Linked DNA regions of Caenorhabditis elegans. The protein of the gene in region 1 purifies or fractionates together with the protein of each later gene. This does not show direct contact. Each region holds a gene or a part of one and is shown in the gene's direction. Other genes may lie near its edges. The genes, in order: imb-1 and npp-13.

Region 1 (7,862 bases):
TAACTAACAGAAATCACCCGAATCGCGCCAGCATTTGCAATTAGCTTTTCATTAACAATTAGAATAATTTGTGGTCCAAGTGTGAGTAGCATAAAGAATAAACTCAATCGAATCGATCCACTCGGTAGAATATCCTGAGGAATTAGGATTTCTGTAATAATTGATGCAAAATTCATATGAGCAATACTTCTTGCTGTATGGAAAAAATTGGTGATCACTATGGCGAGAAACTGTCGTTGTGAGAGAATTTGCTTGGTAAGATGAATAGAATTTTGAACATTTTCGTGGAATGTTAGTTGATGTTCCTTTTCTTTTTCTTGTTCTTTTTCAATTAAAACTTCTCGATCTCCTTGTTCCTTATCCTCTTGACGATTGTTTGTGATTTTTCCAAAGTGACCTCCCCACCAAAGACAAATGAAAGAAAGTATTGCGACGAAAAAGCAGATTCCTTGGAAAATCGGAAAATTCTGAAATTAGCGAACATTTCTTAAATCTAAATTTTAAATAATAATACCTTTAAACTGTTGCTCAGCTTTTCCGTGACAGCAATCGAAAATACCGATAAAAGAATTGCGATTTGAGAATATTTCAGTGCTTTTACTCGGATCAATGACTGATTTTGTGTGGTGTCAGCGAATAGAGCTCCCCATGCAACACTGATTGCACTGAAGAATGCATCGTAAAGGAATAATGAGAGAACAAGGTGCAATCCTTCCAAATCTGAACCTTCTGTATTCCATGGGATCCACATGAACACAAATGAGCCAACAAGGAAAGGAGATAAAGTTTTGATCACTAATAAGCGATTTGTGAGCCATGATCCACGAATTTCCTGAAAACAAAATATTAAATAATCATTTCTAGCTTACAAATATAACAAATACCTGCAAATATCCAAAAAGTGGATCATTTATTGCATTCCAGACCATAAACAAAGTTTGCGCAATGTTGAACCATTTTGTGTTGACGTGAAACTGATTAATGTATACTTTAACATAATAAAACATGAAGAGCGTCTGAAAATTGAGCTTTTTGAGAATTTAGGATACGAAACTCTCACCTGCAGAACACTTAATCCGAACTGTGAGAGTCCGATTGATAATAGGGAACTTCTCATTATTAAATTCGTATATTTCTTTCTTCAAACTATTAATTTTACAGGAATTTGAACAGATTTCCATGAAAAAACAGCAAAATACAGCAAAAAAAATGAAGAAAAATGAAATAATGCATGTACGCTCCATTGAAAATCTGTTATGGAAGAGAAATACAACGAATTTGAAAATGAGTGTCTCGGCGCGACAATGCTCCTATAACAGTCGTTTTCTCTGCGTCTCTTCATGAAATTTTCGGCGCAATTTACTTTTTCGAATTTTTGCACTTCTAAATCTGTTGAAATTTCTAAAATTTCCATCAAAAACGTAAATTTTCTTATTTAAAAAAATTTTAATAGGTTCCCGCTAAACTTTTTTACGAAACTTTATCAATTTCACTCTTTATCATCGGTAAAATTATCAAAAAAGCCCGAAAAACTATTTTCAAAATTTTAAATTGATTAGTATTTCTCTCGAGAGTGTATTTCCTCACTTAATCATCCTCAAATACATATTTTTCAGTAACTACGCTTACTCGGCTTCCGAAGTTTCTGAAGACAATGGCAGAACAAGCGGCAGAACAGATGCTGACGGTTTTGGAGAAAACCGTCTCACAAAGTAAGTTTAATTAAATAAGTAGATTTCAAATATTATAAAAATATATTTTCAGATCAAAATGATCAGAAACAGGCGATGGACTATATTGCGGCGGCATGTCAACAAGATTTTCCCGTTTTCGTTCAGTGTCTCAGTATGATACTTCGCACACAGCAATGTCAGTCATTTGTTCGTCAAGCCGCCGGTTTGCAGTTGAAAAACGTTCTATGTGCCAAAGAAACTGAAACCAAAAATGTGTATCTGCAAAGGTAAAACATTTTTTTAATAGAAAAAGTTTATAAAAATTGATTTTCAGATGGCTACAATTGACGGCTGAAGTCAGAGAACAGGTAAAGCAGAATGTGACCGGAACATTGGGAACTGAACCATCAAGACCATCAATTGCAGCTCAATGCGTTGCAGCAATCGCATGTGCAGAGCTTCCACAAAATGTAAGTATATATTGTACAGGACTTTATAAAAAAAATCATATTTTTTAGCTATGGCCCAATGTGATCAACCTGCTAAAGAGCAACGTGACAGAGTCACAAAGCGGAGAAATGCTGAAAGAATCTTCACTTGAAACTCTTGGATACATTTGTCAAGACATTGATCCACGAGTTTTGGAGACAAAAGCCAATGACGTCCTAACAGCAATTATTCACGGAATGCGTCCCGAGGAATCATCCGCCAACGTTCGATTCGCGGCCACCAATGCTTTATTGAATTCGCTAGAGTTCACAAACACGAACTTTAGCAATGAGGTGAGAAAAAAAGTGTTTAACCTCAAAGTGTGTTCAAATGAACGAATTTCGCAAAGATACTTCTCAAAAATGTTTCGGCAATTTGTTATGGCGATTAAAAAATCTTCAAAAGAACATAAATTTTTTTTGGTAAATTTTTTGAGAGTTATCATTATGAAATTTGATCGTTTTAGGCCAGTTAGTCTATTTCAGCAAATTGCCCACAAACTATACTTTCTCTTCAATGATTATTTCAAATTCAGGCCGAGAGAAACATCATCATGCAAGTTGTTTGTGAATCGACGAGCAGCAGTGATCAACGAGTAAAAGTAGCTGCTCTCCAGTGTCTTGTTCGGATCATGCAGCTGTACTATGAACATATGCTTTCATATATGGGCAGTGCACTCTTCCAAATCACTCTCTCTGCAATGAAATCCCAGGAGCCTGAAGTGGCAATGCAAGGAATGGAATTCTGGTCAACTGTCGCTGAGGAAGAATTTGACTTGTACATGACCTATGAGGATGTAAGAAATACGCGTTTTGATCGGAATGCTGCCATTTTTATTTAAAATTAGTGTCAATAAATAGAAAATCACTTGAATTATCTAAAAATTACTTTTTTTCTGTTGATTTTCAGATAATTCAAGAGATTTCCTATATTCTGACATTAATTTTTAATAAGAAATGTTGAAAGCAATTCCGTAGAATTGCCGAAAATAATTGGTTGTGGTTGACTCTAATTCTCCAAAATTCCAGGAAGTTGAAAGAGGAGCTCCAAATCCAAAATGTGCATCGCTACGATTCATGGAACAAGCTGCTTCACATGTGTGCCCGGTTCTTCTTGAAGCAATGGCTCACCACGACGATGGAGACGATGATGATGACTGGACACCAGCAAAAGCTGCCGGTGTATGCTTGATGCTTGCTGCTCAATGTGTACGGGATGATATTGTCAATCACGTGATTCCATTCTTCAAACACTTCCAAAATCCTGATTGGAAATACAAGGAAGCAGCTATCATGGCATTCGGATCTATTCTTGATGGTCCTGATCCAAAGAAGCTTCTTCCGATGGCACAGGAAGCTCTTCCAGCTATTGTTGCAGCCATGTGTGATAAGAATGTCAATGTACGTGATACTGCTGCATGGTCTCTTGGAAGAGTTATTGATACGTGCTCGGAGCTTGCAAACAACGCGGAACTTCTTCAATCTGTTCTTCCGGTTCTTTCCAATGGTCTTCATCAAGAACCAAGAGTTGCTAACAATGTTTGCTGGGTATCGTTTTTTATTAATTTCCCTAATATTGTTATTTTTTAATAATTTCAGGCCCTCGTTTCCCTTGTCAAAGCTTGCTATGAGTCAGCCGTCGCAAATGGAACAGATGGAAGTGGACAACCGGACACATTTGCTCTTTCCTCAGTATTCGATCCAATGGTTGGAGAGCTTATCAAGATTACCGACAGAGTAGATGGAAATCAATCGAATCTTCGAATCACTGCATACGAGGCTCTGATGGAACTGATCAAGCATTCACCGAAGGACTGTTACTCAGCTGTTCGAAATACAACTGTAGTCATATTGAAGGCAACAAAAGTGTTAATCACGAGCGAGAAAAAATGATTTTAATTTCAGAAATTGGAAAGCCTGCTGCAAATGGAGTCTCAGGCGACCAGTGAAGCTGACAAGGCTCAAGTTCGGGATCTTCAAGCAATGCTGTGTGCCACATTACAATCCGTCACTCGCAAAATGCAGCCAGCCGACATTCCAGCCGTTGGAGAGCACATTATGAACGGACTTTATCAAATTATGAACAGAGCTGCAGCGACAAGAAGTAATGCGGTCATGGAAGAAGCTTTGTTGGCTGTTGCTTGCTTGGCAGAACGTAAGATTTTTTTCCGATTTTCTGAAGCATATTTGAACTGGAATTCTTTCAGATCTAGGAAAAGGATTCCTCAGTTACATGAACGTGCTGAAACCATATTTGCTAGAAGGACTTTCGAATACAGATGAGACACAAGTATGTGCCGCCGCCGTTGGACTTGTCACCGACCTCAGTCGTGCTCTTGAAGCCGAAATCATGCCATTCATGGATGAATTGATTCAAAAGTTGATTCTGTGTCTTCAGGTAAGATTCGAGAAATGAGAAAACTCAGCTCGCATAAAATTATAATTTGATTTTTCAGTCACCACGGTTAGATAGAAACGTGAAAGTTGTGATTATTGGAACATTTGCTGACATTGCAATGGCTATCGAAGCACATTTCGAACGATATGTCGGCAGTGTTGTACCGATTCTCAACAATGCTCAAAATGCTGCAGTTGTCACTGATCCGGTAAAAAATGAAAAACATTATTCGAATTTATAATTAATTTTTCCAGAACGATGATGATCAAGTTGATTATGTGGATAGATTAAGAGAAGCTTGCCTCAATTCATATACTGGAATTATTCAAGGATTGAAGGCAATTCCTGACGTATGTGATTAGGCAAACGACGCATTTGAAAAATGTTATATGCAAAAACAGTGTATTTTTGAAAATGTTCAATTTTTAAAATTGGAAAATTTAATATTCTTTCAATTTTTCTCATAGAATTTTCTCGCGTTTTTTTTTCGTAAAATTTGAAAAGTCAAATTTCAAATCAAACTTATTCTATAAATTCTCCCAAAATTGTCATGAAAAAAATAACTGAAAAAACCACCAAAATTTTGAAAATACACAATTTCCGAAAAAACCGGAAAATCGAAAAATGTTCAAAAAATTAACCATGAAATTCAATTTTGATCAAATTTTGTTTATGTTGATTAAAAAAGTTTGAAAAAAATTTCTTCCCATAATGAGGAAAAATAACCCGAATTTCAAGATTTTTTTTGTTGAAATATCGGAAAACGAAAAATTCAAAAATTTCCGTTTTTCGATTTTTTTAAAATTTTAATTTTTTTTAGTTAAAAAATTGCAATATTAAACTTATTCTATACATTTTTTTAATAATAAAAAGCGAGAAAATTCTATGAAAAAAACTAAACAAATTAAAAAAAAATACACAGTTGTTTTTGCTTATAATTTTTTGACAAACCGGAAATTTTAATTTTAATGATTTCAGACGACCGCTGCCCGAAACATGATCAATGTATTCGTCGAGCCGATAGTTCAACTGATTACACGGATTTCATCAATGGAACCAGTTCCACCATCAGAAGCACTTATCGCTACTACAGCTGGTATCATTGGTGATCTTGTTCAGTTGTATGAGGGTGATATTATTCGATTCTTCCTAACTGATAATGTTCGTTTTTATTATTATTATTCAAATCTGAAAATTATTTTCCAGGTGACACAAATGCTGCAAAAGGGTAGAAAGTCAAAGGTGTCAAAGACGAAATCGATGGCCAATTGGGCGACCAAAGAAATTAAAAAGGTAACATTGAAAAATCGAAATTCATTTTTTTTTTAGAAAACAAGAAAATAAACCATAATGACCAAATATAACAACAAAAATTAAAAAAAAATCTACATGAATTTCTTAAAATATTGCAACAAAAAAAACTACTAAATGTTTTTTCCTGGTTAAATTTATCGGGTTTTTTCGAATTTTTGATTTTAAACACCTGTTGCCAATTTTGAGACATTTTTTCACAAAAAAGTTATAAGTTGTATGCTAGTTTTGAAGATTCTGCAATTTTTGTGGGTCATCAAGTTTTAAAGACAAAATCTCCGAAAAAAAAAACTAACAAAAGTTGCTAATTCAAATTTAATTCAGTCGTTCCTTTTATTTTTTTGCAAAAATTTTTTTAAACATTATTTTAAGAAATTAGAAAAAATCCAAAAATTTTTTTTAAACGGTTATATTCGGTCATTACTGTCAATTTTCTTTCATTTAAAGCAAAATTCCAAAACAAATATTCTCTAAGCTATAAATACTTACTTTTTTCCTTTTTCATCAACATTTCTAACGAATAAACTAGTTGCAGCATACGAACAACGGAGCAGCTACGTTCAATTTTAATCGTTAAGCAACACAAAACTTTCAATCTCAGTTCACTTTTTTTTCCAATTTTTCTTATTTTCTTCCTCCACCCCCCACATTTCTCTTTCATTTCCCCACATCTCTTCTTACAGGTCATATGCTCTCTGTTTCTCTCTCTTTGTCTCTCCCGTTTCCTTTTCTCATTCATTGCTCCGTTTTTTCCATCTTCCAAGTTTCCAGCTTCATCTCCTCCCCGGTATTTTTATTTTATTTTTTTATCTCTGACGAATTAGAATGTAATTTCCCCCACTTTTATTTTCGTTTCCTAGATTGTTTGCTTTATATTTTTGTGTGTGTGACCCCTCATTATTCAAATTTTTCTATTATGATTCTGATTTTTAGCAGCAATTATCTTCATCATTTTCTGGTTGTTTTTTGTCGGTCTTTATCGATTATCGTTTTTGCCCAAATTTGAAACTTCTAACACGGTATCTGACGGCCCTATACGTTATCATTTTGTTTCCCCTATTTATTCATCACTATTTTTTTTCTCAAAGTTTTACCGGCTAACACTATTAGTTTTTTTTTGTAAATCTATGTTTTCTATCCGAAGGGCTGTCAGTTACCAGTTGTCATCCCGCCTATTTCAATCTCAAGACACATCAATTGCACTAAATGATTCTCTTGGAATATTTTGGAATATATTTTTTTTTTAACGAAAAAAAAATTAATGACAAGTAGGAAAAAATAAATACATAGAAGTAAATGATAAATGATGGGGTAGTAAGGTAGTAGTAGAAACTATGTACATAGAGGGAAGGTGGTGGCAATTTGAAAAGCTCGGAAAAAAATGCAGGGGATTTGAATCAATTTTGATTAGAGGAAAAAGAAACCGGTGGAGGAATCTTGGAAATCATCGACAATAATGAAGAAAAGTGAAGATTAGATGAGAATTGAAGGCTAAGAAATCTCTCGAATGACCATGTTTTCGGGGGTTTTGAAATGAGGAGACCACCTCAATTCTGATTTTTTGTGTGTGTTTGACTAGATTACAAAACGTGGATTCAGAATAAATGGATGGGGCTATCGATTGAAAGTGGGCAATTTGTCGAATGAGTAACCAGGCCGGCCGCATAATGTACACGTCACGTAGTACACGTGGTAGAAGCCCGGAATAAAGCAAACGAGGCCGGCGAAGAAGAATACCCAGTGTTGCATTCCGGAATGAGCTGAAAATGGTGAGGATTTGGATGAATGGGTTACTGTAGAGCTATCAAAGAAGCAAAATTTCATGATTTATGAGTTAAAGAATACGGTACCTGGTCTGGACACGAAACATTTTTTTGTCAAATGCGACAGTAATTTTCTACTCGATTTTTCTACATTTTTTTACAATTTATTGGAAAACTGTTTGAAAAATTAGTAATAATTCATCGGAAAAAATTTGAAAATTAAAGTACT
Region 2 (4,957 bases), 2.8 Mb from region 1:
GTGTGGAGTACACGACTTTCCCAGTCCGGCAGGCGATTGTCAATGGAGCGCGAAAAATTCAATGAGGAAGGCAATAACCCCGTAGTACTCTAATTAAGTGTCCCGTTTTTACGAAATTTTTATAAAAATTGGTTTTTTTTGTTTTTAGAGAAAATTATGAATATATTTTCTTGTTTTTCTAATCAACAAAAGCGAAATTTAATGTAAAATTACACGGGGTTCTGGCCTTCCTCGTTGAATTTTTCGCGCTCCATTGACAATCGCCCGCCGGACTGGGAAAGTCGTGTACTCCACGCGGACAAATACATTTAGTTTTACAACTAAAACCGAGCCGCGACGCGCCGTAAATCTACTCCAGATATGGCCGAACCAAAATGGCCTAGTTCGGCAAAAACTCTTCCATTTCAAATTATGAGTCCCCATCATGCCTAAGAACCCTCTATTTAGGTTACTGACACATCTGAAACCGGTGCTACAGTACCCTGCGTGGTGGGACCCGAAAATTTGAAATTTGGCAGAAAATGGGCAAGATGGGAGTCATTTTGAAGCTGAGAATGAGGAGAATGTGAATTTTAGAGTAATTTAGAGAAAAAAGTGAAATTGGGGAAAAAAAAACAATTTTTTTGGAAATTTTTTCATTTCAAAAATGTTCTTTAAATTGTCGTTAAATTCGAATTTCTCGATTTTCAGCTGTAAAATGACCCCCATCATGCCTGGGAATGCTTCAATTTCACACATTTCCCCATTGACACAGCTGAAACCGGTGCCACAGTACCCCGCGTGGTGGAAAAAAAACCCGAAACTTTCAAAAGAAATCCCTGATTTGTTTTACACTGAAAAATTGTTGAATTATCACGGGAACACAAAATTCAGAGAATGCGTATTGCGCAACAAATTTGACGCGCAAAATTATTAATATCTCGTAGCGAAAACTACAGTAATTTAAAGAATTTAAAGAATTACTGTAGTTTTCGCTGCGAGATATTTTGCGCGCCAAATATGTTGCGCAATACGGGCTCTCTGAATTCTGTGTTCCAGTAATTTTTACTTATAATTATTTTCCATAGACCAGTAAAACATTTACTGATTAAAAAAGCTCTCGACACAACTGTCACTAAATAATTCATTTTTTTAAAAGAAATTTAATGTTTTTTAGTGTTCAAATCATCCAATTTGTGATTTATTATCTGCTCCATGAGTTCCTGAGACCGATCTACCATCTGGCGGTGTACTTCTAACCGGAAAAGTCGATAATGTGGATGCTACGACACGCTCCCGAATTTATGTCTTTTTTTTCGTTTTTCTTTAAAAATAATACTCAATTTTCTTGAAACATTTTCATCGAAAATGTTTTTTTTTTCAATTTTTTTGTAAGTTTTTCATTTTCCCACTCAATTTGTACTGAATTCGATTCAATTCCAGCGGAAATTAATTTAAATTCAGCTCTTGGCAATGTGCCAAGAAGCTGGTGGCCTAGAACTCGAAATACTGGCCTAGGATTCATGCGGGATTTCGGAGTGTCGTTGCACCGATTTTTTCAAAATTAATTTTCGTTTTGCCGCGAAAAACGAGAATTATTTGGTTTTTAAAACGTTTTTTAACGATATTTTTCGATTATTTTCATATTTTTCAGGGTTTAAACTGGAAAATGTGGTTAATGTAAACTGGTTAATGTTGTAAATCCTTGAAAAAACCTAAACCAGTAATTTTCTCAATTTTTAATTCAATTCAGGATGCTACAGTTTACGGAGATCCTCGGAAGAGTTGATCATCAAGGATTCGCACAATTGCTTGCTAATCCGATTTTCCAAACCAACCGTGTCGGCCAAGAGGTTTGTAAATAATGTTTAAAATGTTAAAAACACCGAAAAATTCCCTTTTTCCAGAACTCGCAGCAATTCACAGTCCGAAATGGCGTCGAGCAGGAGCTTTGCGGTATTTTAGGCGGTTCAGAAGGCGACTGGACACGTCAGACGCACTCAGTTCAGAAGCAGATGATGTTTGGGGAGCGTGGCATCGAACTTCCGAGCCGCCAGCCGAAAAGTCACACCGCCGAGGATACTCTCACTGATGAAGGTGTCGTGGACGTGCCTGAAGCTGTAATGGATGATATTGACGAGGAAGAAGTACTTAATCACGGCCTCCTTGAGTGTTCATAATTATTGGAGCGAGCTCGCGTGGCACCTCACGAACTCCAGAATTTGCGGGAGTTCGTTCCGCGGGAACAGCAGTTTTTTGTTATTTTTGGCTTCTATAGGAAATATTTTTGATTTTTTGTTTTATAATATTCTTGAGAAACATCATCCGAATTGAAAATGTGTAAAATTATGAAATTGGCCGAAAACTGGAAGTTTTACAGAAGAAAGCCACTATAGTTTTTGAAAAAATGTATCAGGATCGCCAGTTTTGCGATTTATGCGTCGTAAAATATGTCATTTTGTAGAGAATTAAAAGTTTCATAAAAATTTTCGTTTGAAATTTTAATTCGTTAATTTCTAATAAAAAAATATTCAAAAAATCAACAATTTTACGTTAAAATCTTATTTCTTCAATTTTTAAGTTTTCAATAAAAACAATTTTAAATTTTCAAACAAAAATTCTTATGAAACTTTTAATTCTCTACAAAATGACATATTTTACGACACATAAATCGCAAAACTGGTCCTGATACATTTTTTTAAAAACTGTAGTGGCTTCCTTCTGTAAAACTTTCAGTTTTCGGCCAAATTTTATAATTTTACACATTTTCAATTCGGATGATGCTTCTCAAGAATATTATAAAACAAAAAATCAAAGATATTTCCTATAGAAGTCAAAAATAAAAAAAACTGCTGTTCCCGCGGAACGTGTTCCCGCGAATTCTGGAGTTCGTGAGGTGCCGCGCGAGCGCGCTCTAATAATTATGAACACTCCAGGTGGCCGTGATTAATTAATAATTTATCATGAAAACAACGTTTTAATCTTTAAATTTTCCAGCTCGACGAGGACATTTCTCGTGTTAAAGTGGAGACGGATCGAGCATTCTTCAACCACATGCTTCTTTCGAGACCTGCCGCAGTTCCCATGAATCCAGCACAGGCTATGGAACGAGATGTTCGTTAAAATCCCTTGCGCGGCACACCTCACGAACTCCAGAATTCGAGGGAATTCGTTTCGCGCGCACTTCTATAGATATTATTTTCTATTTTTTTGATTTATAATGTTGTTGAGAAGCATTTTTCCGAATTGAAAATGTTTAAAATTATGAAATTTGACCAAAAACTGACGGTTTTACAGAAGGCTTTCTTTAAAATGTATCAGAACCGTCAGTTTTTTGATTTCAAAGTCGTAAAATATTTAATTTTGTAGATAAAAGTCTGTTTCACAAAAATCCACGTTTGAAAATTTAAAATTGAAAATTGTTTTTATTAAAAACTGAAAAGTCTAGAAAAAATAAGATTTTAACGTAAAATTGTTGTTTTTTTGAGTATTTTTATATTAAATTAAAGGTGGAGCACCAAAAATTTAGACTTTGCTTTTTTGGACCCAAAATGTTCCAAAACTACCAAATTTCGTAATGAGACGTTCTGAAAATTTCTCAACAAAAAAAAGTTACGACCGCTCAAAGTTTTGGAAGAAATGGTCTATTTTCAGCTAAAATCTCAAATTTGTCAGCTTTTCAGTGCTGCATCGGTTGGTACTCAATTTTTATTTGACTAGCACTCTTTAATACATATTATGGTAGTTTATTACGCGTTTTTTCGTTGATTTGAGCCCATTTTGGGTTGATGGGTGCACAAAATTGTATTATATTTGTGCACCCATCGACCGAAAATGGGCTTAAATCAACGAATAAACGCGTAATAAACTACCATAATATGTATTAAAGAGTGCTAATCAAATAAAATTAAGTTCCAACCGCTGCAACACTGAAAAGCTGCTAATATTTGAGATTTTAGCTAAAAATCTACCATTTTTTCCAAAACTTTGAACGGACATAACTTTTTTGTTGAGAAATTTTCAGAACGCCTCACCACGAAATTCGGTAGTTTTGGAACATTTTAGGTCTAAAAAAGCAAAGTCTCAAATTTCGGTACTCCACCTTTAATTTCTAATATAAAAATATTCAAAAAATCAACAATTTTACTTTAAAATCGTTTTTTTTTATAAAAGATTTTCAGTTTTTAATAAAAACAATTTTAAATTTTCAAACGTCGATTTTTGTAAAATACTCTTTTCTCTCTACAAAATGACATATTTTACGACTACGAAATCGAAAAACTGACGGTTCTGATAGATTTTGAAGTAAAACCTTCAGTTTTCGGTCAAATTTCATAATTTTACACATTTTCAATTCGTATGATGCTTCTCAACAATATTATAAATCAAAAAATTCAAAAAAGAATTTCTATAGAAGCCGGAAATAGCCAAAAACTGCTGTCCCCGCGCGAATCGAATTCCCGCGAATTCTGGAGTTCGTGAGGTGTCGTGCTCGAATAATTATGAACACTCCGGGAGACCATGGAAAACAGGGGGTTCTGGCCTTCCTCATAGAATTTTTCGCGCTCCATTGACAATCGCCTTGGGAAAGTCGTGTACTCCACACGGACAAATACATTTAGTTTTACAACAAAAATCGAGCCGCGACGCGACACGCAACGCACCGTAAATCTACCCCCAGATATGACCTGGCCTAGTTCGGCAAAAACTCTTCCATTTCAATTTATGAGCGGAACCAGAGTTCCGTGCTCGTTTATAATGATTTTTATGCCGAAACACGGAATTCTAGCTTCCCTCATATATTGAAATGGAAGAGTTTTTGCCGAACTAGGTCAGGCCATATCTGGCGTAGATTTACGGTGCGTTGCGTGTCGCGTCGCGGCTCGTTGTAAAACGAAATGTATTTGTCCGTGTGGAGTACACGACTTTCCCAAGGCGATTGTTAATGGAGCGCGAAAAATTCTATGAGGAAGTCCAG

What was found.
Region 2: the proteins of imb-1 (region 1) and npp-13 purify together in Caenorhabditis elegans (affinity purification with western blotting, with the first as the bait; one study listed by BioGRID). This does not show direct contact.

What each region holds. Positions count from the first base shown.
Region 1 is NC_003279.8:4,919,988-4,927,849, reverse strand, and holds imb-1 (Importin N-terminal domain-containing protein), read left to right. Parts: upstream 1-1,616; 5' UTR 1,617-1,654; coding exon 1,655-1,712; intron 1,713-1,764; coding exon 1,765-1,960; intron 1,961-2,007; coding exon 2,008-2,143; intron 2,144-2,191; coding exon 2,192-2,455; intron 2,456-2,697; coding exon 2,698-2,958; intron 2,959-3,190; coding exon 3,191-3,709; intron 3,710-3,760; coding exon 3,761-4,018; intron 4,019-4,066; coding exon 4,067-4,316; intron 4,317-4,368; coding exon 4,369-4,559; intron 4,560-4,617; coding exon 4,618-4,767; intron 4,768-4,813; coding exon 4,814-4,909; intron 4,910-5,537; coding exon 5,538-5,720; intron 5,721-5,765; coding exon 5,766-5,852; intron 5,853-6,405; coding exon 6,406-6,447; 3' UTR 6,448-7,091; downstream 7,092-7,862. Other genes in the region: mfsd-13.1 (Major Facilitator Superfamily Domain containing homolog), read right to left, coding at 1-467, 515-832, 885-1,016, 1,061-1,117; F21F3.7 (Transmembrane protein 230), read right to left, coding at 7,485-7,630.
Region 2 is NC_003279.8:2,095,614-2,100,570, forward strand, and holds the start of npp-13 (Nuclear pore protein), read left to right. Parts: upstream 1-1,732; 5' UTR 1,733-1,733; coding exon 1,734-1,832; intron 1,833-1,886; coding exon 1,887-2,126; intron 2,127-2,976; coding exon 2,977-3,093; intron 3,094-4,957.